Linked DNA regions of Struthio camelus. The protein of the gene in region 2 interacts with the protein of the main gene of each other region in a pairwise test. Links are inferred from orthologs where the notes say so. Each region holds a gene or a part of one and is shown on either strand. Other genes may lie near its edges.

Region 1 (15,385 bases), on a different chromosome or scaffold from region 2:
ATTTTTTAAAATTTAATAGTGATATGGTGAAAAAATGTCATCAAAAGCATTAGAATTTATGCAGAGTTATTATGTTTCAATATTGGCACAGCCCATATGACTTTAGCACAGAGGAAAATCTCAGGAAAAGCCCTGCCAGTGGAAAAGTGATATTGTGAGTTGAGTTTTGGAGGACTAGGAAAAATGAGGTTGCTGAAAATAAAAGCTGGAAGGAAAGTAGGGGTACTGCAGTCATGAATGGCTCAGGAAGAGAGACTCAGGTTAGATGAGGAACCAGCAAAAAAATTGGTTCTTACTAGCAAGGACAGAGAGAACTAGTGGGCAAGGCAGAAGGAGGCACAGTAGACCTTAATCTGACATTTCGTAACATCTGAGTGCTTGATATAGGTTGTAGATGACATATAAGCAAATAACAGCTGAACATGGTTTAAGGACAATGAGTTGTTTTGGAAATTCTTTACTACACCCATTAAAGGCTTCTGGTCCGGGCTGCTCTTTGAAGGGAGAAATATTCTTGTTTAGTATTTCTCAGTCCTCTGCAGTCTGTTTCTGGTGGACCTCTGCTGGTCTTAAAACATAAGAAAACTCACTAAAGAAAACAATGTTTTTTAATCCCCCAGAAACTAACATGCAGAAAAACAGAAAGGGTGGAAGTAACAGTAGTAGTAAATCAAATTCAAAGCTTAGACTAACTTTGATTGTAAACATGAGCCACTGTGGTGACAGATGAATGTTGACTTATTTCTCAATATGGTTAAGTGCTTCTCCTTTTTTTTTTCCAACAAAATCAGGTGAATTGTTGATTAAAAAATGAAAAGGTGAGAAACACTGATAGATGACATGATATCACAGTTTCAAATGAAATAAAAATCTCTGTATTTGCCACACAGAGTCAGACTTTTCCCATTATTACACTGAGTGTAAGGGATTATGTTTTTCTTCCAGGATGTTCTTACATACAGGAACAGGACACAGCCTTTCTGAGTGGAAGGCTGCTCAGTCTGCTGTGCACTGTAGCCCTACTTTTCTTCATGTGGGTGAGGAGGAGCAGAGGAATGTGAACCAGAGGTCCCCCATGAGCACTTGCAGCCAAACTGGAAGGGGAGAGAAAAAAAAAAAGGAAACCCTAAATGCATATAATCAGTTTGTCCAGAAAAATATAACGAGATGGATGTCTGTATAGCAGTGTAGTGCCTACACATATACCTAACCCAGAAAACAATAGAGGACAAGACTTTGGCAGTTAAAGGCAGGTAAAAATATGATCCAATTTTTGAAACAGTCCCTACTGCTTTTTAGCTGTGTACTATCTTCCTATCTTCCTGACTTCTACAGCAATCTTGAACATAACAGAACTGTGTAAAAACTAATGGCAGATTTTGCTTATCACTGACTTCAGTTTCGGTTAACAGGACTACCAGTGACAGAACCTGGCCACGTATACGAACTTACAGAGTTGGTACTTCTACTCATGAAACAGCTCAAACAACAGTTCCCACAAGAACTGAAATTGTTATAAAAAGTTTTAATCCATTACACATCTGAAAGGAAATTACAGGGTAAAAGTTAGCTTCTGTGATGACGTTGACTTTAACTGCATTTATACTCCTGGAGCTAAACACTGACAGAGAATATTCCTGTAATTGCTCTTTGTGCTTTTAAACGAATATACATGTCAAATAAGAAAAAGAATGGGAAGAAAAATATAAATGCCAGGGCACAAAATTATTATATATGAAAACAAAGTGGCTTTTAAATCCAATCAAGTCCTTTTGCTAGAATACTTTAATATTCTGAGCTTATTTCCACTGAGGTTGATGACATAATTAATGGTAATAGAATAATGTAATTAACAGACAATAACCTGAAAGCAAGAGCCTACTTACCATATTCCATCAGATTTTGCCTCTTCTTGACAGATTTATTTTTAGCGAACCGTTTCTCACCCAGGCTCAAAAAAGAAACTTTAGAATATTTTTCCGAGTAATAATAATACCATAGTGTGCAGAGTATATCAGTTAGATCATGCAAGTGACTGCATATTTATATTTTAAGAGAGTCATAATATTTAAAACTGAAATCACAAATAAAATTTAATACATTACTTCTGTTTAAGAGCTGCCAAGCCATCCTATGAAATAGAATCTAAAGGCTTATTTTTTACATCAAAGAACTATCAAGGTCCATACTCTTTACCGAGTACAGATCCTTAGGAAAAGAAAAAATAGCACCTATCTATCATAAAGCTTAAACATACACTGACATAAACATAGGACTAAGAAAAGAAATATTTTTAGAACAATATTTGCAAATATTTCTTCCAAAGGAAATAACAATAAAAAAAAACTATAGTCATTTTGAGTGAATGCAAAGCAGGCTGATTTAACTCTGTGGCTAAAGGCAAATCTTTTATTAAACATTTATAAAAAGTATCTTATTTTTGTTGTATTTTTATATTAGAAGTGAATGTATGATAATGTGTTTCCTTAATCATCTTTTCTTTTAAATGGCTAATTTTTAAAGGCCTTTAGTCTCTTTCCTATTTATAGTCATAATTAGTAGTGCATAGAAATAATAACACTTAGAATTTGAAGTAATCTGCAATGTAATAAGCATTGATTGTTTAATTTGCAACTATTATATTATGTTCCTAAACTAACTTAGCTAAATACTTAAGCACATACATAACTCTTAAGTTCATTATTTCAGTGGGACTGTTCATGTGCTCTTTGCTGAGTTCTTCTAGGTACGGATTGGAAATACAGCTAGAAGTTTGAACGCAGACTGTGTGGCACTTTGAACTGGCATGTTCGGTAGTTACGTTTCATGAGCTACAGCTACAGGAATGCTCTAGATTAGCCAGTGCTATCATGAATGATTGGATTAGACTGAAAATATACAACCCAGGTGTAATTTTTAAAAGAAGGAAATGACAGAATCGTAAAGTAGAATAAGGGTCAGCTAGGATCTGTTAGAAGAGGAACGGAATATAGACCTGTGACAGTCATATCATAGTAAGACTTTAAAAAAAAAATAAAAAAAAAAGGATATAATAGGAAAAGCCATACCAGATCAGACTATATTTTCATCAGCCCAGTATCCAGTATCTAAAAGTGACTTGTAGTGCATAGACAAGAAAAGCTTGGAAGGAGCAGGGGGAATGTGAAGTGATTAGTCCTTTTGTTTACCCTCTAGCTTTTGACAGTTTCATCTTAGGGACCTTCTGAGTCACTAATGGATTTAACCACCTTTGCATCTGGACCATTATGTAAAATAATCACAAGTGGATTTAATCACCTTTGATTTTTTGCCTGTATGTATTTTAAATGACTGTTTATTTTGAAATATTTGATCATTAGGCATTCTGGCCTACAAAGTGAAGAGCTTAGTGAACGCCAATAGAGTCACGTAATATTAAATAAGTCCTAAAATACGTTCTCTTTCATAAAACTAGAGTCAAGAGAAGTAATTATATGGCTAACACTTGCAGCATATAACTATTTTTAAATAGTCATATAAACATAAGGCAACAATATAAACATTATTTAAAAAAAAAAGGAAATGCACCATTGATGATTCTAATCCTGGTGAGAATACAGGAAGATGTTCCATACATATAGCAGCTTACAGCTAGAGCACACAGAAAAATGGGCTGTATCTGAGCTCTAAATTGAACTATATCTTTCAGAGAAAGTACCTTTTTCTATTTTTTGTTGTGAATTCCTGTTGTGAATATCAGTTACCTTATTAAATGTGGTATTTAATGATGTAGAATGCATAATACTAAAGACATTTACAAAATGCTAGCATCTTCTGAAATCCATTTCCTTTGCAGACCCTTTTTTGATATTTTGCAAGCATCTTATTTATTTTAATGTTATAATTACACCATTGAAAGTCATCCACCCACATTATGCTTATCATATTTATTTATATGGCAGATTTCTGCACATTTTAGTATAAGAGTTTAAAATTCTCTGCAAATGTTATTGCTGAGGGTCAAATCAGTTCGTAAGAAAATTAAGAAAACACTTGCTTGAACAATAATGCAAGTATTTTCTGCCTGTAGGAAAGCTAAAAATCCTATCTTTCCAAGAAACAGTATTGGATAGGGTAATGAGGGAACCACATAGGTAAACTGTAAAGCCAGTAGAGGCCCTACATGACCTCAGTTTTCAATTGAGAGATACCATCATTGCTAAGGGAGCATACAATAAATTCCATTCTATGATGTTCTGCTAAGCACAAGACTTGAATTATTTTGTTTCTAAGTTGGCCTGTCTCTACTTCTACAGGACAGACATCTCACTGAGACATCTGATTTTAACACAGACGCTGAAAATTCTGCCATTCACTTTATGCATTTTCTAATCATTCACATGTCATTAAAGCCAGAGGATACTTTATGCCCTGTGCGTGTTACATTTCAATGGCATTTCTATCTTAATTTATTGTTCTTTTTCCCCCTTGCTGCATGGATCAGTAGAGAGTTGTTTTTCAGTGTGTGCAACATGACCAGGATAGAATATCATAGGCACTGGTCTTCTCCTTGGGATTAAATCTGGGAAGGGTGATCATGAAATGCTTCTGGGAATAGTATGGGATCTTGTGGCTTGGCTGGAGACCAAGTATTTCTTTTTGTCAGCTTTGCAGTATTCTCCTGGGATGTGCAAAGCCTAATTCTAGGATGTTCTTAGAGATTCTTCTTCTATCGGGACACTCAGGTTGTGTCTGAGTAATGAAATCTGGAAAGGCGAGGGCAAAGGCTGCTCATCAGTACCGGTATAATTCTAAAGCAATTTCCACTGAGTCAGAACTACAGGTGGAATCTACCCCTCATTCATGTATTTTTTGCTGTTTCTACATGCAGATACGACCTTCTTTCTAATTGTCATGGAGAAATATACATCAAGCATACTTTAAGAGGCAAGACTGTATAGTAGTACTTAACAGTTTTAGTAAGCACAGAAACAACCTGTCTGTATGCATGCAGTTACAAGAGTAGGTCTGATTTGAAATACTTTACTTTTCAGGAAGAACTTCAAGGACCTGGAGGGATTCAAAGTAGAGGCTACTTTTTCTTCAGGGTATGGTTTGTTTGGTTTTTTTTTTTTCTCCCTTTCAAATTGTTACATAACAGAGTCGAGAAATCAGAGAATTAGTGTAAGAATTACTGTGTACGAGTATTACTGTGTATTACTTTTTTCAGTATTAGCATCATGCTGTAAGTATTTCCATTATGGATGTTTGTTGTCTTTGCAGAAGATGAGCAATATAATTTCCAAAGAATTTATAAGGTACATTCTGCATGGCACCATCTGCATTTGTAAAGTCATTAGGATAACAGGGCTAGATTGGAACTTCTTGGTGATACTGAAGTATCAGAAACGGATTAAAAAATCAAAGGGGATTGTACGTGCTTAGAATCCTTCAAATTTAGGTAATTACTGATACGTTTTTCACTATGATAAATGTTAACAATGAAATATCTTAAAAAGACATAGCACCTCTAATAGATCAATAGAATGATCCTCTTAATGTAGTGAACCAATATTCTAAGATCTGTTATTCCCAAATAAGAATTTCTAAAGTATTTGCAAATTATTTTTTTTAGAACTAGGTGTACTTAACTAGTGTACTAGACTGATGGAGATTTACAGTCTTCCATAGCAGCGTAGGGTTTTAGAACATGTTAGACATGCACCTGACAGGAATGAGGCATGGATAGGAGGTCTCAAGATCTGTTCCAGGCATTTTCTATGATTACGATAAAGCCATAGTAAGAAGTTTTTGTACACGTCTTAGTATAGGCACATGATACCGTGCTATTTCTTAATAAAGCATTGGTTATTATTTATACAATTCTCAGAAGAGTTCTAGAAAATATGGCATCTTTGAAAATCTTCTAAAGCATTGTTCAACACAGTGTGTTTACATGCTACATAAATATAATGCCATGCTTACATATTGTTCCAAGATAGATATTGGACCCGACCTTCTCTTTTCCTTGTATTTTGATCAGTAAGGTAGGAAAGTAGACATAAAAATTCTCAGGAGAATGAACCTACTTGGTCCATCTTTCATGCCGTGCAGCCTTTTTGTTCTGTTTACACAAAATGGATTAAGTTAAAGATGCCAAGTCAGACTCGATAATGATTTTCTTGATTTTGGTTAATCTTTTTTCTGTTTAAATAAGAAAGCGACTAGTAAAAAGAAGATATGTTTGTATACTTGTATTTCTTATGTGTCAGGCTTGGATCTTAGAGTACTCGTGATAGGCCAGAGTTATCAAACATGTTAACCCATGGTTAATTAATTAATTAACCCATGATGCACTCACCATATCAGAGTGAACAGCTAATCCTTATTAATCTGAATAAGAGCTTTTTAATTAGCTTTAGTAGAACATGAATCAAGTCCCCCGGTAGTGCAAAATTTTACTGCAATGACCACAGTGAAAAAGGAGAAACTCTTCACTTACGTTAAAGAACACAGTATAAAAATAAAATCATTGAGAGTGACTTCATATACTTATTTTTTAATTGCCACAAACATTTATAATGCAGTAGCAACAATCTGGAAGTACATCTTAAATAAATGCAAAAAAAATGAGGGGCAATGGTCTCTTAGAGTGATTTCTTGTGGCTTTTTCTCCCTCACAAAATCATACGATAGGGGCATAATTCATTCTCCAGTCTTAAAAGCTGAAATGTTACTGTATAATTCTCCTCCAGGGGTGAATGTGCATTAAATGATAACTGGTCTCAGGTTTATCTTGAAAGATGATCACTGTGACAACACTGAGAAATTTACCAATTTCTATATATAGTGAGTTCTGTGGAGCTTTCTTATTGAAACGGGCCAGTTTTATAGAGCGCTTGTTGGATATTTGTCTTTCAGCCACGCAATGGAAGGAGATCAGCGGATTTTCACTAAGCAGGTATTTATTTAAATGCTTTTAATTAAGATCTCTCTTTCAATATGTTTATTTTTATACAAATAGGCCAAATATTTATGTTTAGAAGCAATATTTAACCCAGAAAGCCTTTAATTGTGCAGTGAGCTTAGATTTCTGCAAGGATTTTTCCAGATCTGCTAAATTCTCCCACCTCAAATGGAAATGAATGGAAGCTGTAGGTACTCACTCCCTACAACAAAGAAATCGGAGGTGTTTCAGGCAGCAAGAAATGGAAAACACCCCAGATTTGTAGACAGTTTCGAAAATTACTAATGATGATAAGCGTATGTCAGGAAGAACTGATCCAACTATCTGAAACTATTTGGCTCTTTGGAGATATAAACAAGTCTTTCTTTGCTTATATTATGCTGCTCTCTTTCTCTAATACATTTTATAGCTCTATCATATTTTAAGCATTTAGTGCAATGTCATATCAAAAGCTAAAGCTTTTTCTTATTTTTCAGGATTTTAGATTCCTGATCTAGAACTAATGCTGCAGGAACGCTGAGTAGACGGACATACTGTTTTCCTTACAAAAATTGTTCCGTACTAATGTACAATTCAAAAATCACTAGAATGTAAATGTTCTTACACTAGATTCAGTTAACAATTCAAATGTTTCTTTTCTTTCTTGAATCTATTAAAAGCATATTAAAATAATTTGTTTCCTAATGTTATGTTTACAACTGTGTGTGTAATGCACCTGTAAAAAAAGTCACAGTGTTCGCATGTAAGAGACACTGCCTCTAACGCTGTTGATATGTACTTTTATTTTCCCTTCTAAATAAAGGCATTCAGTTAGCGAGTTGTTTTAATGAGAATGTGGGCAATGTAGTCTTTTGGGTTTTTTTTCAGAATACATTGCAAGTGATTTGTCTTTAAAATCACAGCTTAATTTATTTTGTTAATATCATATTTTACAGCTCCTTTATTGATATTTATGCACATTTACATAGCCAACTACTCTTACATTTGCATATTCTTATTCTGCCCTCATATTTATTGGAAATGCCTATTCTTTCATTATCTGAATAAGCGTTAAACTCAGTCCCACGAAAAAGACGTACACTGAAGCCAAGCTTTCACATGTCTGATAAAACAGTGCAGAAAGTCTGATTCATGGCATGTATTTTTCTTTGCTCTACCACAACACCTAACACTGCATCATGATGAAAGTATGGGAGCCGGGGAAGAAAAGCCACGAGAAAATGTCATGCTTCAAAAAGCACAACTCTCTCCATGAAGAACATCTACACAACGAGAATCCCCGTTATATGCAGTTTGCCGGAAGGCCAGACAAGAGGTGTGCCATGAGGCAAACCGTGACCGCTTACCGGCCTGCCGGCAAGGACCGCACAAGCTATTCGATACCGCTCCCGCCAGCCGTGGCAGCGCCCGCCTTCCCACGCCACGTCTGAGGGACCGAGCGAGCGAGGGCAGCCGGCCGCGCACGACGCCCCCCACTCGCCCCGCCACCGCGCGGCAGCTGCCACCGCCCCAACCGCCCCGCCCGGGGCGGCGCCGCGACCGTTAGCCCGGGGCGGGGCGGGGCGGGGCGGGGCGGGGCCGACCGCGCGGCCCTGCCCCAACGGCCGCCCCGCCGCCCCCGCCCCCGCCCGTCGGGTCAAAGCAGCGGCCTCCGTGAGGGGAGCGAGCGGCCTGGGCGCAGCCATGCAGGTGGGGGCGGACGGCCGCCCCCGGCCCCGGGCTGCCCCAGGGTGGGGGAAGAGGCTGAGGCAGGCCGAGGACGGGAGGGCGACGGGGCGGGGGAGGCTGGAGGCGGTCGGGCTGCGGGAGCCGCGCCGTGCGGCCCGAGGGTACGGGCGGGAGGGGGGACGAAAAGCAGAGGTGGCAGGGAGGGCAGGAGCGACCCCGGCCGCGCGAAGCCTTGCCAGCCTCCGCGGGGCGTCTGGAGAAGCGATGGCAGGAGTAGCTGGTGTGGGGTTTCTCGTGCAGATGCCTCACGGAGGCTCGGTGAATTCTTAGCCATTAACTTAATCATTAATATCCTTCAAGAATAAGAAAGTACTGCACTTTGGCAGCTGGATGATCATAGATGTAGCATACTGTAAAGCATCATGTCACTCACTCAAAGAGGAAATTGCAGATTAATATTTAAATGTAGCTTAGAAGTGTTATTTATGCTCCAGAATTGAAGTTACCCAGCCTAGGGGTTCCCAAACTTATTATGTGTGAGTATCACCCCTGGCAACGCTAGTGGTAACTAATTTTATCACTGGCAGCATGAGAAGTTTTCTCGCTTGGGATTGTGACCAAGTAGTTGAGTAATACTGCTTCGGTACTCCAGCTTTCTCGCTACTGCAACCAATTTTAAGTCAGTTCGTTTTTGCTGTTGCTTGGCTCCATTGCCAGTTACTGTCAAATACTTGCTGAAGTTCTTGACACGCAATTTATTTCTTCTGTGCATATGCTGCAAACTTACACCGATATGTTAACGCTCAGGCTCTTAAACGTTGATTTAACTCAGTTTATTAAAAACTGTGAAAAGTTTGGTGGCTTCTGATCTTTCCCTTCCTTGACACTGGAGTTCAGATTTACCTCAGAGACCTGTTTCTGTTACGTTTACTGTGATCTTAAGTGTAGTATTCTTGAGCCAATTCTTGCTTTTACAAGATGTAAAAGCACCTAGAGAAAGAAGGTCCAGTGTGCAATCCGTTAATCAATTCACAAGCCTGTTGAGGGTTGTAATCATTAAATAGAAATGGTGTAAAGTACACAGTTTAAGTAAAATACTGTAGAGAGATTTTCTTTAGGACATACATTTACAGAAAAACACACAAAGTGTCAAAATCTTTCCTGGCAAACACACATTCAGCCTCTGTTTCAGTAGTCCTTTTTTGTCCTATGGTCTTCAAATTTATTTATCCAGTTAGGATTAATGATTATTATGGGTTTTATGCCTCATAATCCTTCATAATCTTTCTGCTAGGGAAAAAGAGTTGCGTTCTGTGAAGCAGAATCTAATCCTGACCTAAGTCAGGAAATCATATGCACGAGAACATTTGTAATGGAGGCCAAAGTGCATGTTTGTCACTCTTGTTTATTCAGTGGTTCCCCTGGAGTAGTCCTCTTAGTTCTGTGGGCTTTTTGATATCCTGACTGTACCTGAGTCAAAATTCTTCTTTGGTGAAGAATGTAAAACTTTATAGTAAGACAAACAGTAAGACAAAATTTTTTACAAAAATAAATGCTAGGAATTATGCTATAGCAAATCTTTATTCAGGTTATTCCTACGCCAGGCCCATTAGTGACCATCTAGTTTATGATTATATGTGGAGCTTCTCTTTTAGTTTTTCCAATGGGTTATACTTTTCAACCAAAGAAGGAGAAAATAAAACTTAAACTTTTATTCACCTTTTCCTATGTGCATATATACATGCAGAAGTCCTGTGGTATAAATAAACGTGGTATATGAGGTAGCTTATGTTGACACATTAATATTAATCATTCATTTAAAATAAAAAGTTTTTTTTTCTTTTCTGATTCTAGGCATGCTTTTACGTGTCATTAAATGTCGTTATACAAAAGTCATGCCTGTATAAAACTTGTATTTCTTTAAGTATGTGTAGATGAGTGATGTTCTGGCTTTCTGAAGAAGGTTTCTATATATCTTTTAGACAAAATTTTAACAGATATTTTGGAGACTGATAGGTTTATGTATGCTTAAATTTAGAGTTTGGGTTTTTTTTACTCTTATTTTCTTGTTGCTGTCTGTGCAGAAGTGAAAAATGCCAAATGAAAATTCATTAGATAGATTAGAAAGTGGTCCATGAAGATATTGCAGACTCTCAGTAATGGTTTGCCTTTGTTATGGCCTTACTGTATGCCAAAATGAAAAAGGGCTGGCTTTGGTTTAAAAAAGGGGCAAGGGTGACGAGTTTGTTAATTTATTTTTGTTTCATAATATCAAAACAGGATCCAAATGAAGATACTGAATGGAATGATGTATTGAGAGACTTTGGAATTCTTCCTCCAAAAGAAAAACCAAAAGATGAAATTGAAGAAATGGTTTTACGCTTGCAGAAAGAAGCAGAAGGCAAGTGAAGTCAAAATATACGTGCCATTAGTAGAACAACATTTGACAAGCTGAGGTATTTGCAGTAATCCTTTTTGAGCCATAAATATTGTATAATAATTATATTATTTTAATTATTTTCACTCAGTTGATGGTTATTTTAAAAAGTATACTGAATTAAACATACAGTAACATTACTGACAAACATTATGACTTCTATTATGTACAGGTAACTCATTTTCATCATTTTAGTAAAGAGCAGTCAGTATAGTCTTTTTAGTAAAGAGCAGTCAGTATAAGCAAGATTCATGTTCAGACAATTGGTAGTAATCCACTCCTGTAATTTGATAAAAACATGAGGATTTCAATACAACTGCTCTCCCTCCTTTCCAGCGGGAAAATATTTGTCTTCCTGTAACTGTTTTCCATTATTCCAAACTCTCCATATGATTGATATTTTTAATTTCTGTGAAAAATCTTACCATTTATGAGCCAATGTAATAGACAGTCCTTTATATCTGTCATCACAATTTTGTACATCAAGTATCTTTGCTGTCCAAAATCAGGTATTGGCATGCGAACATCCGTGTCCTGTCTGAAGTGAGCATGAAGAAAAATATATTTTCTTTTCCTTTACAGATATTTGTATGTATTAGAAAATTGTTACTGTTACTGTGGCTTCCTGTAGTTTCTCTTTGAAGAACAGAAAGCATGAAAGTGTAGTTACAACCATAGTAGGAACCGGGAGTGGCACCTCTGTGTAAAACTGTGCCTCTTGGTACCAACTCTATTCCTGCAGACAAGCAGCTTTGCGTAGAGCTACTTAGGCTGTATGTGTTAGGTGTTGTAGAAATTCTCACTTTCTGACAAGTTCCAGACTTCCAAATTGAGAAGCAAGTTACGGTTGGTTCAGCAGTTTTCAGCTCTGTGCATTCCTTTGACAATCTGCTGTGTTCTTTTGACGAATTACAGCAGGGAAAACACATAGTCTTTCTGACTTCAGCAGTAGCTTCTGCCAAGTTCTTGAAGGTGCTGTTCATCAGGATGGTGTTTGCCTAAAGATGTTTTAAAATGTAATATCCAAAAATAAAAAAAGTGGCAGAATGGCACACCACTGCATACTACACTGTTTAAATCACAGTTATACTAACAACTTCAGTTCTTTTGGACTTATATTTAGGCTGTTTTTTCTAGATCTCTGATCATTCCTTTGTAGACTTTTGCAGTCCTTTCTAGACTTTTGCAGTCCTTTTAGACTCCCACCAATTGGTCTGGGCAGAAGTAGAACCCAGTACAGATGTTGTTAGATCCAGGGACATAGTGCATGCAAGTACTTAAGCAAGTAAATATTAGTTACGGTTAAATAATTTTATTTTTTCTCTCTTACCCGAAGGTATACTAAAGTTGACTAATCTCTTAAATGACATGTACATTTTTTCTTTCATTAATTCCATAACTATGTAATAATTTTCATACAGACATTTAAAGTGTTTGCAGACACTTTAGTGAACAAAAGATGACTAACATTCTGTTTGTTTGTTCTAGTGAAACCTTATGAAAGAATGAATCTTAAAGAATTAAAGGAAGCTGAAGATGACTTTGATGAGGCTGATATGAAAGCTGTTGAAATGTACAGGTATAGCAAGATATTCCTAGCCAGATTAACAGTGCCTGTGTGACTATTGTACATGTCCACAGAATCACAGAGTGGTCGAGGTTGGAAGGGACCTCTGGAGATCATCTCGTCCAACCGCCCTGCTCAAGCAGGGGTCATCTAGAGCACATTGCCCAGGATCACGTCCAGGCGGGTTCTGAATATCTCCGGGGAAGGAGGCTCCACAGCCTCTCTGGGAAACCTCTGCCAGTGCTCTGTCATCCTCACAGCAAAGAAGTTTTTCCTCAGATTTAGATAGAACTGCCTGTGTTTCAGTTTGTGCCTGTTGCCTCTCGTCCGGTCGCTGGGCACCAGTGAGAAGAGCCTGGCCCCGTCCTCTTGACACCTCCCCTTCAGATATTTATACATATTGATAAGATCCCCTCTCAGTCCTTCTCTTCTCCAGGCTGAACAGGCCCAGCTCTCGCAGCCTTTCTGCATAGGAGAGGTGCTCCAGTCCCCTCATCATCTTTGTAGCCCTCCGCTGGACTCTCTCCAGGAGTGCCCTGTCTCCCTTGTACTGGGGAGCCCAGAACTGGACACAGCACTCCAGATGTGGCCTCCCCAGGGCTGAGTAGAGGAGGAGGAGGATCACCTCCCTCGACCTGCTGGCAACACTCTGCCTAATGCACCCCAGGAGACCATTGGCCTTCTTGGCCACAAGGGCACACTGCTGGCTCATGGTCAACTTGTCGTCCACCAGGACACCCAGGTCCTTCTCTGCAGAGCTGCTTTCCAGCAGGCCAGCCCCCAGCCTGTCCTGGTGCATGGGGTTATTCCTCCCCAGATGCAGGACCCTGCACTTGCCCTTGTTGAAGTTCAGGAGGTTCCTCTCCGCCCAGCTCTCCAGCCTGTCCAGGTGCCTCTGAATGGCAGCACAGCCCTCTGGGGTATCAGTCACTCCCCCCAGTTTAGTATCATCAGCAAACTTGCTGAGGAGGCATTGTGTCCCTTCCTCCAGGTCACTGATGAATAAGTTAAACAAGACTGGACCCAGTACTGACCCCTGGGGGCCACTGCTACATGCAGGCCTCCAACTAGACTGCGCTACTGATCACAACCCGTGATCATTCAGCCAGTTCTCAATCCACCTCACCGTCCACTCATCTAGCCCGCACTTCCTGAGCTTACCTGGTAACCCATTTTTTGTCTTTTCTTTTGGATATCAGTTTCTGTAGATTTCAGATCAGGATGAAACGGAGTCGGTTGTGGGTATCCTTTCTCTCATCATCTCTCTCTCTATCACATTGCATAAGAGCGTGAGGAGAAACAAGAGGCACATATAGCCCCATTTTTTCAAAGGGTACTGAATTTGTGCACGTGGGGTCCATGCTACCTACAAAGGGACTTTAATTCAGGGTGGCATGCTATTAAAGCAAAAACCATATTTCAGTGCTGGAATAAAACTTTTATATTTTAAACTGATAAGATATAAAATATTTATTGAGTTAGCTTTGGACCCCCAATATAGAACTTCTATGTTTGTTTTCCCTCATTTCCTATTTCATTTTAATGGCTTTTTTGTTTCTCACTTAAGGAAAATATTCTTTTGAAGTTTATATACCATACACTGTACTTAGGCATAACTGGAGAACAACCTAGGTCCTCAACCAACTATGTAATATGAGTACACCAATCTTTTCTACTTATAATACGATGCAGAGTCAGTATGTTTTATGACTTCAGGCTCAGAAAACTTTGGCAGCTTATAAGGCAACTTTTTTTAGTTATGTTGGATGTTCACTTATATCTTTTTTAGTTATAGTGGATGTTCACATGTATATTTTCTTCCACATATTTATGAAGCACTTTGCTAAGTTCTGCAGAGCTTGGTACTGTCACTAAGAAAAATAAGATATGCAGTGTATGCAGAATAAAAAAACTAACATGATCAAAACATTTCCTCTGTCTAGACTATCCATACTCAGTGCTTTTGCATTGTTAAAGTGACTAAAATAATTCTAGCATTAACTCCATGTATCTAGTGCTGTATCTTCATAAAAAGATAATCATGCTCTCATCGTGTGAAAGTTGTGAACCTAAATTTATCTTGCATTCTTGCTAGAGTATAATAATGATGCACATATATTATTCCACTTTTTTTTTAAGAAGAAAGTCACTTCTATATGAAAATCAATAGCTGTTTTTAGTTTAGCAAATCTTAAGGCATTTTTCATTGTCTATATTGTAAATATTTTTAGAGTTGAAGACTGCCATCTACTGTCTTAACATTCCAAGTTTCATGTAAATGTAAAATTACATTGTATAATACTAGGACACCAAGTACTAGTAATTCTTGCTCAAACTAATCTCATTTTCAAAATTATAAAGACAATTTTCACCTTCTTTAATTTTTCTTGCTGTATCTCCACTATCAAGACGCTTGTGTAACACGTTCGTTACTTAAGTTTCCCAAATCTGACATTAATGTGTGCACATAAAAGAAGAAAATACATTTTAATGCTTTATTACTGAATAAAGATTAGCAGAGAAGCCTTTCTAACTCCCAAGATATTCCACTGATACTAAAAGACCTTGAGCTACAGAGTATTATTCAAAGCAATTTGTTTAAAGGAATTGAGAGAAATGCACTACATATTATTATAATATGCATTTAAAATTTTCCAGAGGCATTTATTTTTTAATTAGGCAGCAACGCTTGCAAGAATGGAAGTGTCTTCAGCGGAGACAGAAGTATGGGGAGCTAAGAGAAATATGTGGAGAGCAGTATGTAAAG
Region 2 (15,410 bases):
ACAAGGTATGTCAAGTATTGCATTTCCTAACAGTTTGCAGTTGCAGCATTTATCTATCATTTTGCCAAACAAATATAACAGGTTCTTCAGGAGAAGACAGCTTTTTATTATTTTATTATTCCTGAAGTAGCATGATAAAGTTTACTTACAGTTCATGGCAAATAACTTTTTCTAACCGTTATGATATTTGTACAGTTTCATCAAGTGCTAGTAGACAAATTCTCTTCTACACTGAGACTCAAAAAATTGCCAGCCCAGTGGTGGGATTCTAATGTGTTTTTTCTCTTAATAGCACCTGGGGTAGCTTTATTAGTTCCAGAAGGTCAGCATGGTTATATTATCCATTCAGTTAAGGTATCAGCTTTTAAAGGCCAAGTGTAAAGCAAAATCCTCTCCTGATCTGGTTCTGGTTTTGGAGGGTAAGTTAAGGAAGCCTGTTGGATTTGTATCCCCTGAGAAACTGGGTTTATAGTAGAAACAGGCAATGAAAATTATATTCTTCAGTTCTTGTGACTACTGTAAAATATAATTCCAGATTTTCTCCTTGGAATTTGCCATGTTAAGGTTACTTTTCATCACAAAATCAAGTATGAAGATCTAGCTTAAGCCATATGGAGTGGTATTAGGCATGTATCATGAGAGACTGTGTGAGAAATTGAAACTTAAGTAGAAAATAAGTATTGTTACAATGAATCCTGTTTAAATAGAAACTTTGAAAAATAGAGCTTAATTCTTTACAAAATACTGGATGCTTATATCATGCTGAGTGACCAGTCACAGAAGTCTGATGTAGCTCTGAGGTTGTGCTACACTGTGCACTGGAGCCCTGTGCAGAGACGACTTAGCTGAACTTAACTAGGCCCCTGTGTCAGGACAGCGTTATATCATGCAGGACTGTGTGCTTGCATCCTGAAAGACGAGGGGTTGCACCGAAGCAATACCAATGTCAAGTTAGTAAGCCGTGCTGAGGAGGAAGTGGCCTTACTGTTTGGGTACACGACCTCATGTGCATTACTTTTTTCTTTTGATATACCAGTTTATTGAGGTGAAGCCTGAATCTTTGCCTATCATGTTGAACTACACGGAATAAATGTGCTTTAGGACATTGTGATGCTGTCCAACAAAAGGACAACTCTGTAGACTTTGCGGAGGTTATATAGGTCCAGCTGCTTGATCCTTTAGTGCTAATCACGTGCATCACCTTGAGAACAGATCTACCACAAGAGGGGAGAAGATATAACACAGCCAAACTAGTAGCATTGCTGTTACAGAGTATAGTGGGTGAGGGACCTCATTCTGTAGCCAGGACAGCTTTTCTGTTTCATGTGCCAAACGTGTATCTCTGTTTATTGATTTTTTTAGATCAGTCTCAGCGGGGTAGCCTCTTCACACTCTTTCTGAACAATCCTTTAATGGCATTCCTATTTGTCTCTGGATTATCAAGCATGCGCAGAGGATTGTGGGAGAAGTGTCAAGATTACCTTAGAAAAATCAACCGAGATATTGCCCAGCTGCTGACCCACTCACGTTCCATAGGTATGTACCTAAAGATGTACAACTGAAGCTTAGTATGCTACTTAAGCCGACACCTTGTTATTGCTCAGGCTTTCCAAGGGACAGAATAGTGAATAAGGGGAATGCACAAGTATGCATGGTGGTTTCCCCCAGGGTCCTTTTTGTTTTTAAAGCCTTTCTGAACTGAGTTTTCTTTGTTCGCTTCTCTGCAGATCAGTCCTTTCTTCAGTTTTTTGGGGATGAATTTCTTCGCTTGCTTCTAACAAGATTTATCTTCTGTTCGGCTACTATGAGGATGCACAAAATTTTCCGGGTATGCAGGGAAATCTGTCTCTTTGTGAGAACAATCCAGTGCAGATAGAACTGCACTGCCTCAGAATGGAAGGGTCTTACGGCTACGGATATCACTGTGACTTGCGAAAGATAGCTGATATTCACATGCTAATGCCTACAGCTTGTATTGTGTCTATCTCCTTGTTATTATAGAGCATGAAGCCTTTGACTTGCTTCAGCCTTATTCCACCACACAAGTAGTAGGCACATTCTAACATTAGCATATTCATTTATGTCACTCTGAATAGTCTTTTCTGCTAGAAATAATCTTGAGTTATCAAGAAGAATATTGTTTCTATATAACTAAAAAAAGTGGGGATCGAGACTATAAGAGGAAGTGGAGAGGAGGGAAACTTTATCTCTGGGATGTATTCTAGGGTGAGTAAATTTTGAAAGGCCTTTGAAGTGTAAATGAATAAGCTGAACAGAAAGACGGTATTTCCCCTCCCTGCTGGTTAACACTGCTAGCAGTGAAGTCTGCTTCTGGATCTACATCATTTTACACTTGCGAGTGTTGGCGTATAAATTGTGTGCTCCACTTTACATGTTACAGAAAAACTGAAAGTAGAAGCACAGAAAGATGCAGTAGAACTGATCTTGCCTAACTGCAGACATCTATTAGTTTTCCAAGCCTAAGTTAGCTACTCAGGCTTCCTTGATAGCAGGGGAAAAAGTAGATCTTTTGTGAGTGGGGATGGATTTGCCCCCAGTGTCTTAGATATCTGTTTTAGGATGAGATGAATCTCCCACTGGAGATGCTTACATGTCTACAATTTCAAGAAATGAACTCCAGCCTAAATCGGTAGTAGGTAAGTATGTGTAAAGTTTTTTTTTTTCTTTTTGGTAAGGCTTCTGTGAATATAGAATTAAAAGCAAATGTACTTAATCAGCTTAGAGGAGAATGTACTTAATCAGCTTAGAGGAGTGAACGTTTGTATTGCCATTATGACTGTCTTTGAGTCAATAGAAAAAGAAAACTGAACATGACTTTTTTTTCTGCTAGGATCTTTTCATTCCATGTGGCATGTTAAAGAAATTAAGATACTTCTTAGGTGAAACTGGCCTTTTGCAATCTTCTAAAAGGTTATAAAAATAAATGAATGTCTGATTCTCTCTGTTTTCACTGTTGTCTAGCAGGAAACTCGCAATTATCCAGAATCTTATCCTCAGCTGCCAAGAGATGAAACTGTGGAGAACCCTCACCTCCAAAAGCACATTTTGGAGCTGGCTTCCATACTGGATGTTAGAAATGTTTTCCTGGAAAACACCCTCGACGACTATTAGAAGAGACTGTCTTACTGCAAAGCGGTTTCCCTGGTCACAGATTTTGAATGGTGCAGTTTTTTAATGTGAAAATCATAAAAGGAAGTACTTGATTTTATTTTTAAATTTAGGACCATAATTTTAAAAAACAATAATAAACAGCTGTTAGTTTAGCTGTTCCATTCTGTATGGGGTCACTTTTATAAGCGAAACTTTTCATGTCTTTTAAATGTTAAACTAAAGAATCACTAGAGTTTTATTTCTGGTCTTGTGGCTGCTATCAACCACATTTCCAACAGCTGATCCTAAGCATAGAAGTACTATTGGTTACCTTTAGCCCATGTTTGTGGAAATCCTTTATTTTTATACAATTTTAAAAAATTGGAAAAAATCAATAGAAAAACAATATTTTTTTCCCCAAAGACTCTGGATTTGAAATGGTAAAGATGGAACCACACAGTGCAAACCAACAATAGCAATAAAACAGAGTCCTTCATAACAAATATATTTTTTCAGTCTTAGGCAAGTAAGTAGACAAAACTGAGGTAGATTAAGCTGCATTTGGAGCAGTGGGTTTGACATGAAGTCGTAAAGAGCTTTAATGCTCCCTATAAATTTGTCACACCAATTCTATATACAAACTTTGTACTGCTGGCCAAGGACAATTTCCACTCTACCTGCTTGGGTGGATGGCTAGCAGACTGATGAATTACAAGACCAAGAGATTTGGCTCCCCTTTCTCACCATAACATGGGTCATTGTGCCATTTGTATTGCTGCTGCAATTTTCCAGGAGGAGAGGGCGTTCTTCATTTTGAGCTAATAGATAGAAATTCTTAAATCTCCACCAGGTGTAATCTGTCCTTTCCTTGTGTAAATGAAATGTGTGGCTCCTCCAGTGTTATCAATTCCTGACAAGAGTTGAAAGTGTGTCCCATAAAGTGCTGAATATCAGCCCTTCCTATCACCCATTTATCTAACTAATCTGTGTTGGATCCCTGTGCCCTAGCAGACATGCTGGTGCTCCTCTTGGAGGTTAGGGGAAAAAAAAAAAAAGGGGTGCTGCCACAAAGCCCCGTTAATGTTGTGAGTGCTCATTGTTGCATCTCAGTCATTTTTTCGAGCCAGTAAAACTGAGGGGCTGTAATACTGTTTGGCAGTGCTGTAGGCTCTCTCAGCCCAAAATGCTCAGTCTAGGTGGGTTAAGGAGTACTGTGACCTTTGTAAAGGCACTTGCTGGAGAAGGCTATTTTGAGTGTGGGGAGAAAAAGTGCTTGCTGACTCTTTTGGACTGTACCTCCTTCCTTGCAGAACTAGAGGAACTCTTGCAACTCCTGACAGTGAAGCCTGAGGGAGGAAAGAAAATGAAAATGTTCTAAACTATTCTAAACTAGAAAATTCTAAACTAGAAAAAGTTTGTTTTCACTGTTTCTGTGCTGAAAAGGAAGTGAAAAGACAAGTCTGATCAGTGCTTTAAAGTTGCAACCCAGTCATGCCTCTAATGTCAGGTGGAAAAAAAATTGCAAAATGTTGGGACTATCACAGCAGGCATGTTTGCAAAGCTGTAATACAACGGTATGATCAACTCAGAAGCTGGAATAGTGAAGGACTAGAAATCGGCACTGATGGACCCTCATTCAGCAGGGCGTAGTACAGAACAGCAGGATTTGCCACAGTATAAATGGGAAGTTTGTGTGAAGGTTCTCTGTATCTTGGGCTGTAGCTTCAGCTTAAGCTCTCCATTCTTTAATTTCCCAAGTGTAAAAAATTCAATGAATGCTAGCATTTTTCTCTGAGCAGTGTTGAAGCTGGTATGTTGGGCCCCTCACCACTTGGTGCTGCTCTTCTTTGGACTATAGCAGGACTGGGATGTGGAGTTTATTTTAAAGAGTGTGTGTTTGTGTGTGTATGTGTATTCTAGGCGTTTGTGTGTATATGTACAATACACATACATCTACTTGCTAGTGTAAATTGTAAATATGTATATATGTATAGGTACTTGTATATGTATTAAAAAGTATGAAACAGTACAATGTCTTTATATACAACATTTATATATACACACATACGCCATTTTGGGTGCATTCCACAAGGTGTTCCAGATCCTTTGTGGTTGTAGTAAAGGTTATGGCTCTTCTACCATTATAATTCTGTTTTCAGGGACTTGCACTTAGTCCTTGAAGTAATTCAGAACTGCAATCGGGTACAGGAAGCCTTAGCTAGGGGTTATGAGTACTCCTATGTATGTGACAGTGATTAGATTCATGGATTCTTAATGGTGAAGCTGATGATCTGCCTTTCCTTCTGGTAGGAGGTCCCCAGTTATTAAAACGTGGGATCATACGTGGAAGCTAAAGATACTGAAAGCCTTTAAAGCAGCAGCAAGTGAGAGTCACAGATTATCGTATCTGCTACCCTCCCTGCTGTTCCTCCACCAGCAGTGTTTAATGTGCATGGAAGAGGGGAACTTATTTTTCCCCAGCTCACTGCCTTCCAATCAGATGCTTTTGTTCTGCTTTAGCTTTTGCTTTGATGAAGCTATTCTCAGTTTGGTTCCATGCATCTGGAAAATAGTGTGCTATTTTGAAGCACAGGAGCAAAGATCCCTTTAGTGTGGGCTGCTGAACCTCTGTGAAATATTGCCTTCTAGCTGACTGGGAAAGCCTTGGCAGACGCTAGATCGTGTTTTAGCTGGGCTGAGACGAGGAGTTCTTGCTTGCGATCTGCAAGGCCTCTAAGCCACTATGCAGCCCTGAGAAGAGGTTCTGTTTGCTTGTTACCTAAGTAGATCTAATCAGAGGAGAATGCGCTTAAAAAAAAAAGTGACTAAAGAAGCTAGAATGGAGGAGAATATGTGGCTTTGAAAATTAGTTCAGAAGCTAAACACATCAGCTTTGTCTGTTCAGGTAAAAAATTCATTCTTGAGGTCCCACATTCTCTTCTCACCTAGTGACCTTTGGTTCAAAAGGTATGCTGCTGATAGGAATATTCAAAGATAAAGATTTTACTCCTGTTGTGTCAGTAGGAGTAAGAAATTGTACTTTATAAGAAAAAGGCTGATACCTTCTGTCTGCTCTAGCTGTAGATAAGATGAGTATTTGGTCTTGGACTTTGAGCCAGACACCCCCCCACCCCCCACCCCCCCCCCCAAAAAAAAAAAAGCAGCTAGCTGCATTCAAGATAAAAACACTGATCTTTTCCCTCCAAGTAAAAGCTTGTCTTGTTTGAATTTACTAAGTCATTCTAAATTTGTGCTACTGTGTACTGTGTGCTATGGTTGTAGGTACCTTCTCTATGTATACTTGTATGTACTGAAGAAAAATTTGGTATATATATCTAGCAGATCTCGCTATAGGGAAGCAAAGGCTGAACAATTTCAAGTGAGGAGAGAACAGATCCTTTTCTTCTCAGGCCTAATGCCTTCTCTCTTGTATCCCTCTCCCTTTCTCCATATATCCTTATTGCTTATGTTAGTGGAGAAGACTTGCTACCATTAGGCAATACTGAATTAAAAGGGTAAATTCTGTATGTAATATCTAAAGAGAGGAAAAGGTGAACTTGATTGAATGTCTCCTTATTGGACTTCTCCTGCCTAGCCCCCTAATTTACTGCATGTGATATGTTTGAATTAACTGTACTTCCACGGTAGGCATCTCTATTTGTACTCCTCTGTTCAAATTGGCTTTAGAACATCTAGCCAAAGTCAGTGCTGTTGCCTTCCCTCACCCACCCCCTTGACTTCTCAAAATAACAGTGAGGGGGAAAATAGGGCCATGAATTTTTAGAGCTCTGTTTTTACTCTTTGGACGCTGTCATTTTGCTCTGTGGCAACAAAAATGGAGCACTAACTTCTGTGAGCTGTGCAAAGTGGAGTTGCTCCCTGGAGTGCTTTCGTGAGAAGTTTCAGGAGAGTTTGTTTGGGTAGTTTGTCAAAATAATATCCATCAGGTCATGATGTATTAAAACCCTTAATATTCTACAGGGAGCAGTGTGGAGATGTCTTTCTAAGGATCACTGAGGGTAGATGGGGACAGGAAGTTAGGCTTCAAATAATCGTCTTCAAAAGCTACAAGTTCAGTAGCGCTGGTCAGGCTTCTTGTCTAAGGATGGGATGAAAGTACAGCTCCAAGATTCATCCACAGGCATGCCGTTTTGAATTACCCCCCGCCCCGCTTCTTCTGTGTAGTATGACTCCGTGCTATGCTTGGTCTGCTTTTTCCCAAAAGCTTTTAGCTTGGGATCTCTCTCAGCAGCATTTTGGCCTTGACACTTCTTTTGTAAAGCTTCATCTATGTTAGCTTCTTCAGTAAATGTTTTTACAGGTCACTAATGATAGCAGTGGCAGATGTTTAGTCCTGTCCATCCTATGTTAAGTGGCTGCTTCGGTGTTGGTAGCTGTTGGTAGTTGCTCCTGTAGCTGAGGGAGCTCCATGGACAGTAACAGCAAGAGTAATCTCACAAGGGAAAAAGTCCAACACATGCAGCTGAAAGCTGTTCTGTGCAACTCAATAATGTCAGACTAAGCTGCACCGTCAACCTCTGAGAGGGATACTGGTGCAGAAGACAGGGCAAAACTGTCCAGAGTAGATGACTTGCATATTCTTGACATGGCTCTCTTACATTGCTGAGTATCTCTGACTTCTAGAGCGATTTGGCTTGTGGGACCAAATCTATTTCAAAGATTGTGAAAGTCTGGATGTTTACAAATAGAGCAGAGGAGGAAGCATCGGACAAATACTTCTGGTTTATATTTAGGAGTGAAAGTAAAGCTACTTCTTCTGAGACAGACCCCACTTTCTCATCACTTTTCCTCTAAACCATTGCTCTGCCAAGACAGAGGAGGAGATCTAGTTGAGGATTTCTGAATTTGTGAGCTCTTTCAGAAGACCAGGGAATAACTCTGCATCCCCATTGACGTACCCTTATTACTGGGCCTGCTGCCCTGATGTGTGCATAGACGTTTTGCTCTTACAGATCCTGCTTTCACATTGAGAGCAGACTTTACTATTTACTCGGCCAAAGGAGCGCCTTGAGAGATTTTTAGACCTTATTGGATCTTATATCAGTAATTATTCCTTCAAAAAAAGCCTGTGTTGAGTATCTGCCCTACTGACTTTGCAGATTTCTTCTGCCATCTGTTTATTACCACTTATCAGTTGTAACTCATTTTTAGGAGCAGGATTCTGCCTCATGCATTTGAAAAGCACAAGGTGCTTATGCCCTGGCCTGCAGCTCACCAAGAAGTACAAGAAAAATAGATGGGAGAGGGAGGGGACATTCTGGAAATACAGAAAGATGAACTATGTCTCAGACAGTCCATCTACCAAGGGTTAAAGGAGTGTTTTGCCTCTCTGAGTATCAGATTATTTATTACCAAAAGTAATTTTATAGTGGATTGGTTTAAAGTTATTTTACAGCCATGTGCCTGTATATCATATTTTGCTAAAAAAAAAAAATATTTTACTTAAAATATATAGAGATATATAAATAAACTTTTTGGAGCAAATAGACTTTTTTTTTTTTTTTTGCAAGGGATCTATGAATTGCCAAAGCAATGCACTACCAGAGAATATTCTGCCATTGGTTTTGGTGTCTTTGGGAGGAAAGAAGTATGTTTGTATTACTGCTGAAAATTTCAGGGAAGAGTTAAAAGCTACGCTTACAAGTGAGAAGTGATGTTACTCCTCCACTTCAGAAATAAAGACCTTAGTTTCCACGTCGGTTTGTACCGGTAACTAAAACCGAAACGCAAGGCCTGCTTACTGCTGCCACGACCAAGGTTAAAGCCTTTTCCCGCGCCGCTCCGCTCCGCTCCGCTCCGCGCGCGGCCCGCCTGCCCCGCCGGCCCCTCCGCGCGTGGCGGGCCGCGGCCCCCCGCCCGCCCCCAGCTCTGTACCTCTTCTGTAGACGCGTGGTGTTTCAGACGTAACGCTCTTGTTTGCTAACCTGTATGATTTGCCTGTTGTCATGACTACCTTGCCTTTTCCGGTGGTATGGAAGGAGTTCGCGATTAATAAACTGTGGCAAACGCTTGTCTGTGAGGAGGCGGCTGTCGCGCGGCGGGGCGCGCGGCGGCCGTGACGGGGGGGGGGAGGGGAGAGGAGAGGAGGGGAGGGGAGGGGGCGGGGCTACCAATGCCCGCCCCGCCTCGCCTCGCCTCGCGCGTGCGCAGCCCGCGGCGCTTCCGGCTCCGCGCGGCGCTTCCGGGTCGGCGTCGCCAGGGGCAGCGGCGGCAGCGGTCGGCGGTGGCGGTGGCGGTGGCGGTGGCGGGGGGGGGTCGGGGCGGCGCGGCGGGGCGCGGCGCGGCGGCACGCACCGGGCTGGGGGCCGCCGTGAGGCGACTGAGGGGCCGGGGCCGAGACGGCCGTGGCCGGGCCGCGGCGGCGGGAGCGGCGCGGTGGCGGCGGGGCTTCGCCGGGCCCTTCGGCAGCCGCCGGCCGGGCCCGCTGCCTCCGCCTGGGGCGCGCTTCGCGGCCGGCGGGAGCTCTGCAGGGCTTCTGCTCCGCGCTCTGAGTGTGCGACGACACGCACGGAATTAAAAGGCGCTCGGTTGCGTGGAGGTATTTAAAACTGGTGGAAAGCCGCGGTACGGAAACCTTATCTCCTTAACGTGCAGGTCCTGTTAGGCCATGAAGGCTTTAATGGAACTAGAGAGGCAATAAAACTGAGTGGATGAGGCACGAAATTAAGTCTCGACGTCTGGAAGCTCTACGCGGAGCGCCAGCGCGCTAGCCGTGCCGGAGGGAGCGGCTTTGCCAAATACTTGGCTATTTCGGGGCTGCAGAGCAGTAAAATGTTTGCAAAACTGAAGAAGAAGATCGCGGAAGAGGCAGGTATCGCGCCTCGCCCGGGAGGAGCTGCCAGGATACCTAGGTCTGTCAGCAAGGAGTCGATTGCGTCCATGGGAGCGGACTCGGGAGACGACTTTGTGAGTTGCACTTTGCTTGGAATTTTGCTTTTTGTTTCAGCCTTTCCAGTGCGGGTTGGCAGGCGACCATTTTAAGTCCGGTGCGTGAGCCGCGTATGCGTTCCGGTATGCGATAGGGCGTTTATGTAGGTGTAGAGCTTAACGTGTAGATGAATCACTAGCTTCAGTGAAAAGAAACTAGCTACTGAAAAGAAAATATTTATGTATTAATAGCAGTAGTTACTAGGAGGCTTATGTTCAAACGCAAGTTTATGTTTAAACGCAAGTTACAAAACTATCTCAATGAAGACCATTGTTAAACAGATGGAAAATACTGAATAAACCTTTAGCAGTGTGTAAGACACCTACCTACAGAAGTAAGTACTGAAGCAGCAGACAAGGAAGCCGGATGCTGATTAGCAGTGATTTGGTCCTGTGTTTGCCTCTCGAGTTGCTGGTACACTTGCTGCTTGAGCATATTGTTTATGTAACCGCTAAGAAAGCATATTCCATTTTGTTGCATGCAAGTAAAACTGTTCTGGTTCCTCTGTCTTGTTTAAACTTTGATTCATTATGAAGCATTGTTTAAGCAAGCTGTATAATTATAGCTGCATGTGGGTTAAATGAAACCCTACAACGCTGGCACCTCTGCCCGTAGATGGCTATTGTATTTCTCAAAACCTGGGTTAAGTCATGGTGTAGCACTGCTGTTGGAGCTAACAGCTAATACATGCTATATTGCTTTAGCACAGCAGGTCCCTTTATGATTCTCTTTCGCTCTGTGTGTGTGTGTGTGTGTGTGTGTATATAGAGATATATATATGAAATATATAAATAAAACTCTATCTTCAAGAATGAGTTATTTTAGTAGTTCCCATTTACTTGCTCTTAATGTTGATTTTTATAAAAAAAAACTATAGAGAAACATATGTTAGCTATGCAGTGGATTTTGCATGGAATGACTATTGGATAAGTGCTTAAGGGAGTTTATTCAACGTGAAAAGTATTACTTTTCCTTCTTCCAGTTACTTAGTTTTCCAAAATGACTCCTCTCACTTGGACTCATCCCAGAATGTGTACTGTATAACCTAATTTTTCCTTTTTCCAGTCGCTCTGCTATGCTGTCTCCTCAGTGATCAGTCTGAACAAATAATTTGCAGCTATGGGTTTTAAAAGTCTTGTATTTCACGGAACAGGCCCACATTGGAGAGCTGACCATTTAAGCTCTTGCTTTTTTTCTTCTTCAGCATCTTTTGTACATTCTGCTGTGCTAGTACAACTCTCCCCTCGTGAAAAATGAAAGCGTCCTTCCTAGGTGGGATAGTGTTCATTATCGTTAAAGTTAGTATATGGCAGGATCATTTTTTCTAAGTTTTGTAAGTTACATGGATGTTGTTTTTCTATTGAGGCTTCTGATGGAAGCAGCTCTAGGGAGGATCTTTCATCCCAGTTGTTGAGAAGAAACGAACAGATAAGAAAACTGGAGGTCAAACTGTCCGGTATGTGTCTTGGTTTGTATAAAACCTTATTATTTTAGGAAATGTGTTTCATTTGAACTTAAGTGTTTTAACTTATCAAAAAATGTTTTTAGATTTTTTTTTTTCCAGAAAACTTCAATTTGTAACAACATGGTTGACTGTCATCTAGGTAGCTTCCAGTAAAGATAACTGTATAAAGTTTAAAGATTGATTGACTGACTGACTCTTTTCCACTGATTTCTTCGCAACATTTGTGCGTTTCTTTTGAACATTTGGGATACCTTTCTGTCCCTGTGTTTCAAACAGAAAGAGTCTTCACTTGATGCTATCTTCCTTTCCCCACTGTTTTTTCTTACTTACTTGGAAAATAGAACAGCTCCCTTCTGTTAAGATGTATGCTTTTTGATGTTGACAGAAACATTCCCAAAAGGATAAACTCCCAAATGAAGAAAAAGCAAAGGATTTGGCATAAAACAACATTGACGCTGTTTTTCTTTCTACAATCATGCCTTGTCCTGTAAAAGTCTTTTAAGGACTTCTGATACTGCTTTCCATCCCTGTTGCATGGAGTGGATCGGAGTCCAGGTTGAAGCGTGTTATGGAGCAAAAGTAAAAGCTGCTTTGAATTCCCGTGTCTTCTCATTCACTCTTTATTTCTCTTTAGAAAATGTCTCTTAAATTAAGTCACTGTTCTTGAATGAAGTAAAAGGTGGGAATAGTTCTCCGTTCTCTGGTGCCAGGCCTACTGCCCTTTATTGTGTAACTAGCACACCTAGGTCAGGTCCTCCTGTTTGTGCCAACCGCATACCCCATGGACGGCATAGACAGTATTTGCTTGTCTTCATTTTTGTGGTCACCCAAGTTTTCCCTAACTGGAATGATTTTCTAGTTGAGACAATCATTGTTGTTTTCCACTCATTTTTTTTCTTCTTCCTTTCTTTTTTTTTTTTTTTTTTTTTTTTTTCCTTCCCCAATGTCTGTCCATTCCTGGTCTGTGCCTCTCCCTCCTCACACAAGATTATGCTGATCAGATCCGAAACTTGCAGAAGATAAAAGAGAAGCTTGAAAATGCATTAGAAAAGCATCAGGATTGTACGTATTTTTTTTTTTTTCAGTTGAAAACTGTTATGCTTTAAATGCAGATGGAAAGAAATGAGTTTGTATGGTTGTTTTAAATGCATTTACTTTCAAATTGTGCACCTCTAGGTTGCAAAAAAAGCTATAGTTTGGCTGCTGAACAAAGTTGTCATTAATCTCTTTGCCAAGTTGGTGGCTAATGTGTGGGAGAGATTTTTTTTGAAACCTTCAGCCTTGTTATAATCCAAGCACTGAGGAACAGTACTCATGTCTTCTGTCGTTTCCGGCAGTTGTCTAATGTACAAGCAAATGTGTAATGTAATATAATAAATGGCACAACATCAGTGCTAGAGAGTCAAGATGGGGCTAATTACTTGGGTAAGAAGCTCTTTAAATTTATAAATAACATAGGAAATTGAGAAGTGATTTAAAAAGATGGCCTTGTAATAAAGCTGGTGATTCTTTGTTGACAGCCTCTATGAGGAAGTTTCAGGAGCAGAATGAAGCTCACCAGGCCAACCGAGCCAAGATGGCTGAAGGAATGGCTTTGGCCTTGGAAAAAAAGGACCAGGTAATAGTTACAGTTTGAACAACTGAACTTTTGACCAGTTGTGCAGTGCATGATCTTGATGTAGTCAGGAGGTGTCACCATTAATGAAAATAGTTGCTCTGTATTGCTTTTGCTTACTTTGCTGAAGTCAAAGAAAGGATGGAGCATTAAGTGCTAATGTAAGAAACGTCAAAGGACTTGTCGTCGTTCTGAGTGTTCTTGCCGATTTTAAAAAACCACTCAAAAGTTTCTAGTATAAAGGTAAGCTCACCTTTGTATTTAGTAAGATTCCTTTGCAGGAGAACTGTTGTCATTTTTATTTTACTTGCGTAAAGCTTAGGTATTCAAGTAACGTAAATGATTCCTCAGGTTTTTCTATGTTTAAATCTTATTGTTATTTTTATTTTAGTCATTTAAAATTTAGTCATTTTAATCATTACCATGGTTTAACATCTGTTAACAGTACAAATTTTTTTTTTTTTTTTTTTTTTACTATAACTGCAGTTTTCAAAAGTCTATAAATGGATTTTGATTTTTCTTCTATTTTTCTTCTATTTTTCTCACTCAGGAATGGATGGAAAAACTGGGTCAAGTTGAAAAGGTAATTAAGTTCTGATTTTTAAACACTGATCTGTACACTTTCTGGGACTCAACTCTGTTCATCCGTTCTTGTTAAGTGATCTTTGCTCAATGACTGAGGCCAGAGATAGGCTTTCGTTACCAGCTCTGTTACTTCAGAAGATATTTCTGGAATTAGTTTTGAATGGGCAAGTAGAGAATGAGGGGTGGCAGGGAGAAAGGCATTGTGCTTCTGTAAGGTGGAAGAGAGTTTACTTTCTTATAGAGGAGCAGCTGGGGTGCAGAAAGAATTAGTGACTTGGTCTGAGGTCTTGCAGTAAGTTTTCTATTTCATAAAATAAGCAACCCTATTTGGTAGTTTGTTTGTTTGTTTTTTAAGGAAATGAATTCAGTTTTGCTGTAGTTGTTACAGCTGTTTAGCTCAGTCTCTTTTAAAATATCTTTGATTATGAAGACATTAAACATGTTACTATTGGCTGTAAATTTATAACTTTTTAAGGGTTAATTACCTGTAATACTGTTATGCTTGAGTTACCTATCTATACTGTTTTTTAAAGTGAGACTTGACTGCACTGTAATAAAGACAACATTGTGAAGATTTTTGAAGTTCAATAATTTACTCCACGTTGCCTACTGCTATATATAGTACTGTCAGAGAGCCTTTAAGACAAGATTCCTTTTCCAAAGAGCGTAACTAAACTCCCATTGACTTGAAATTAACGTGCAGATATTCATGGATTCCTTGTTTTTGTTGGTTTATCAGGAAAAAAGAATGCTGGAAACGCAGTTACAAGAAATGAGGGAGCAGAGTTTAAACCTTTTTCAAAAGAGAGATGAAATTGATGAACTGGAGGGCTTTCAACAGCAGGAGATGGCCAAAGTTAAACACATGGTAAGATTATTTTTAAACATGACTTTTAAAATTTCTCTTAGGATACCTAGTTAGTGGTAGCACTGCAATAATTTTTTTTAGCCTTGATGCTTATGTGCAGACTTTCTCAGCGTCAAAATCCTACCAGAATGTAAACACGTACAATGTTACAGAGACTGTTTCAACATTGCCTTTCCTGGGAGTTATTTCATTTAGTTCAGCTCATAACTTAATAAAGGAGATAAGTCTAAATGAGAAGTCTTTATCAATATTACTGGGTTATCTGTATTGTCAAATATAACATTCTAATACTCAGCTTTTGAAAAAGGAAGAATCTCTGAGCAAAGCAGAGCAGGAACTAGAGGCATGCACTCGAGAACTAACTCACACTAAAGAGGTGCTTCAGGATACAAGTGGTGTGTCATCAGGCCTAAGAAAAGATCTTCAAGAGTTGCGGCAGCAGTTCTTGGAGCTAGAGGCACAGAGGTATGGATGTGGTGTGTTGTGAGGAGCAGTGTATTTATTCCCTGTGTATTTTTACTTAGTTCCCAACTCAGTCTTTTTGGAAGAGTTTATATATGCAGTGAACTGATTGAATAATTGCATCTAGTATGCTGGTGTGGATGTACATGCCAGATTTTTATTTATTTCTTCTCAAGTCAATTAAAGTAATAACTTGTGTAGGATTTAGTAAACTTGTTATGATGTTTTTTTTTTTCCTAGTTTGGAGCTCTATAGTACCTAATACTTAACCCTTACTTTTAAAGTGTGTAGTCAACACAGTGGCTGGTTTTAGCCATCAAAAAAGTCTTGTTGATGTTTCTTGGTCCATTTGCAT

What was found.
Region 1: the proteins of GOLGA1 (region 2) and PDCL2 interact in a two-hybrid assay, tested with the Homo sapiens proteins (2 studies listed by BioGRID). The two-hybrid records come from large-scale screens. The link is inferred for Struthio camelus from reciprocal best matches to the Homo sapiens genes GOLGA1 and PDCL2.

What each region holds. Positions count from the first base shown.
Region 1 is NC_090945.1:56,483,306-56,498,690, forward strand, and holds the start of PDCL2 (phosducin-like protein 2), read left to right. Parts: upstream 1-8,516; 5' UTR 8,517-8,629; coding exon 8,630-8,635; intron 8,636-10,894; coding exon 10,895-11,015; exon of another isoform or gene 11,016-11,070; intron 11,071-12,539; coding exon 12,540-12,630; intron 12,631-15,297; coding exon 15,298-15,385. Other genes in the region: NMU (neuromedin-U), read left to right, coding at 5,034-5,087, 6,901-6,936. UniProt on the Homo sapiens protein: Essential for male fertility, spermiogenesis and acrosome formation.
Region 2 is NC_090961.1:1,280,294-1,295,703, reverse strand, and holds the start of GOLGA1 (golgin subfamily A member 1), read left to right. Parts: upstream 1-9,265; 5' UTR 9,266-9,348; intron 9,349-9,726; 5' UTR 9,727-9,903; coding exon 9,904-10,038; intron 10,039-11,213; exon of another isoform or gene 11,214-11,332; intron 11,333-11,425; coding exon 11,426-11,516; intron 11,517-12,512; coding exon 12,513-12,587; intron 12,588-13,045; coding exon 13,046-13,143; intron 13,144-13,690; coding exon 13,691-13,723; intron 13,724-14,464; coding exon 14,465-14,593; intron 14,594-14,888; coding exon 14,889-15,058; intron 15,059-15,410. Other genes in the region: protein SCAI, read left to right, coding at 1-5, 1,363-1,536, 1,728-1,828, 2,983-3,132. UniProt on the Homo sapiens protein: Involved in vesicular trafficking at the Golgi apparatus level. Involved in endosome-to-Golgi trafficking. Mechanistically, captures transport vesicles arriving from endosomes via the protein TBC1D23.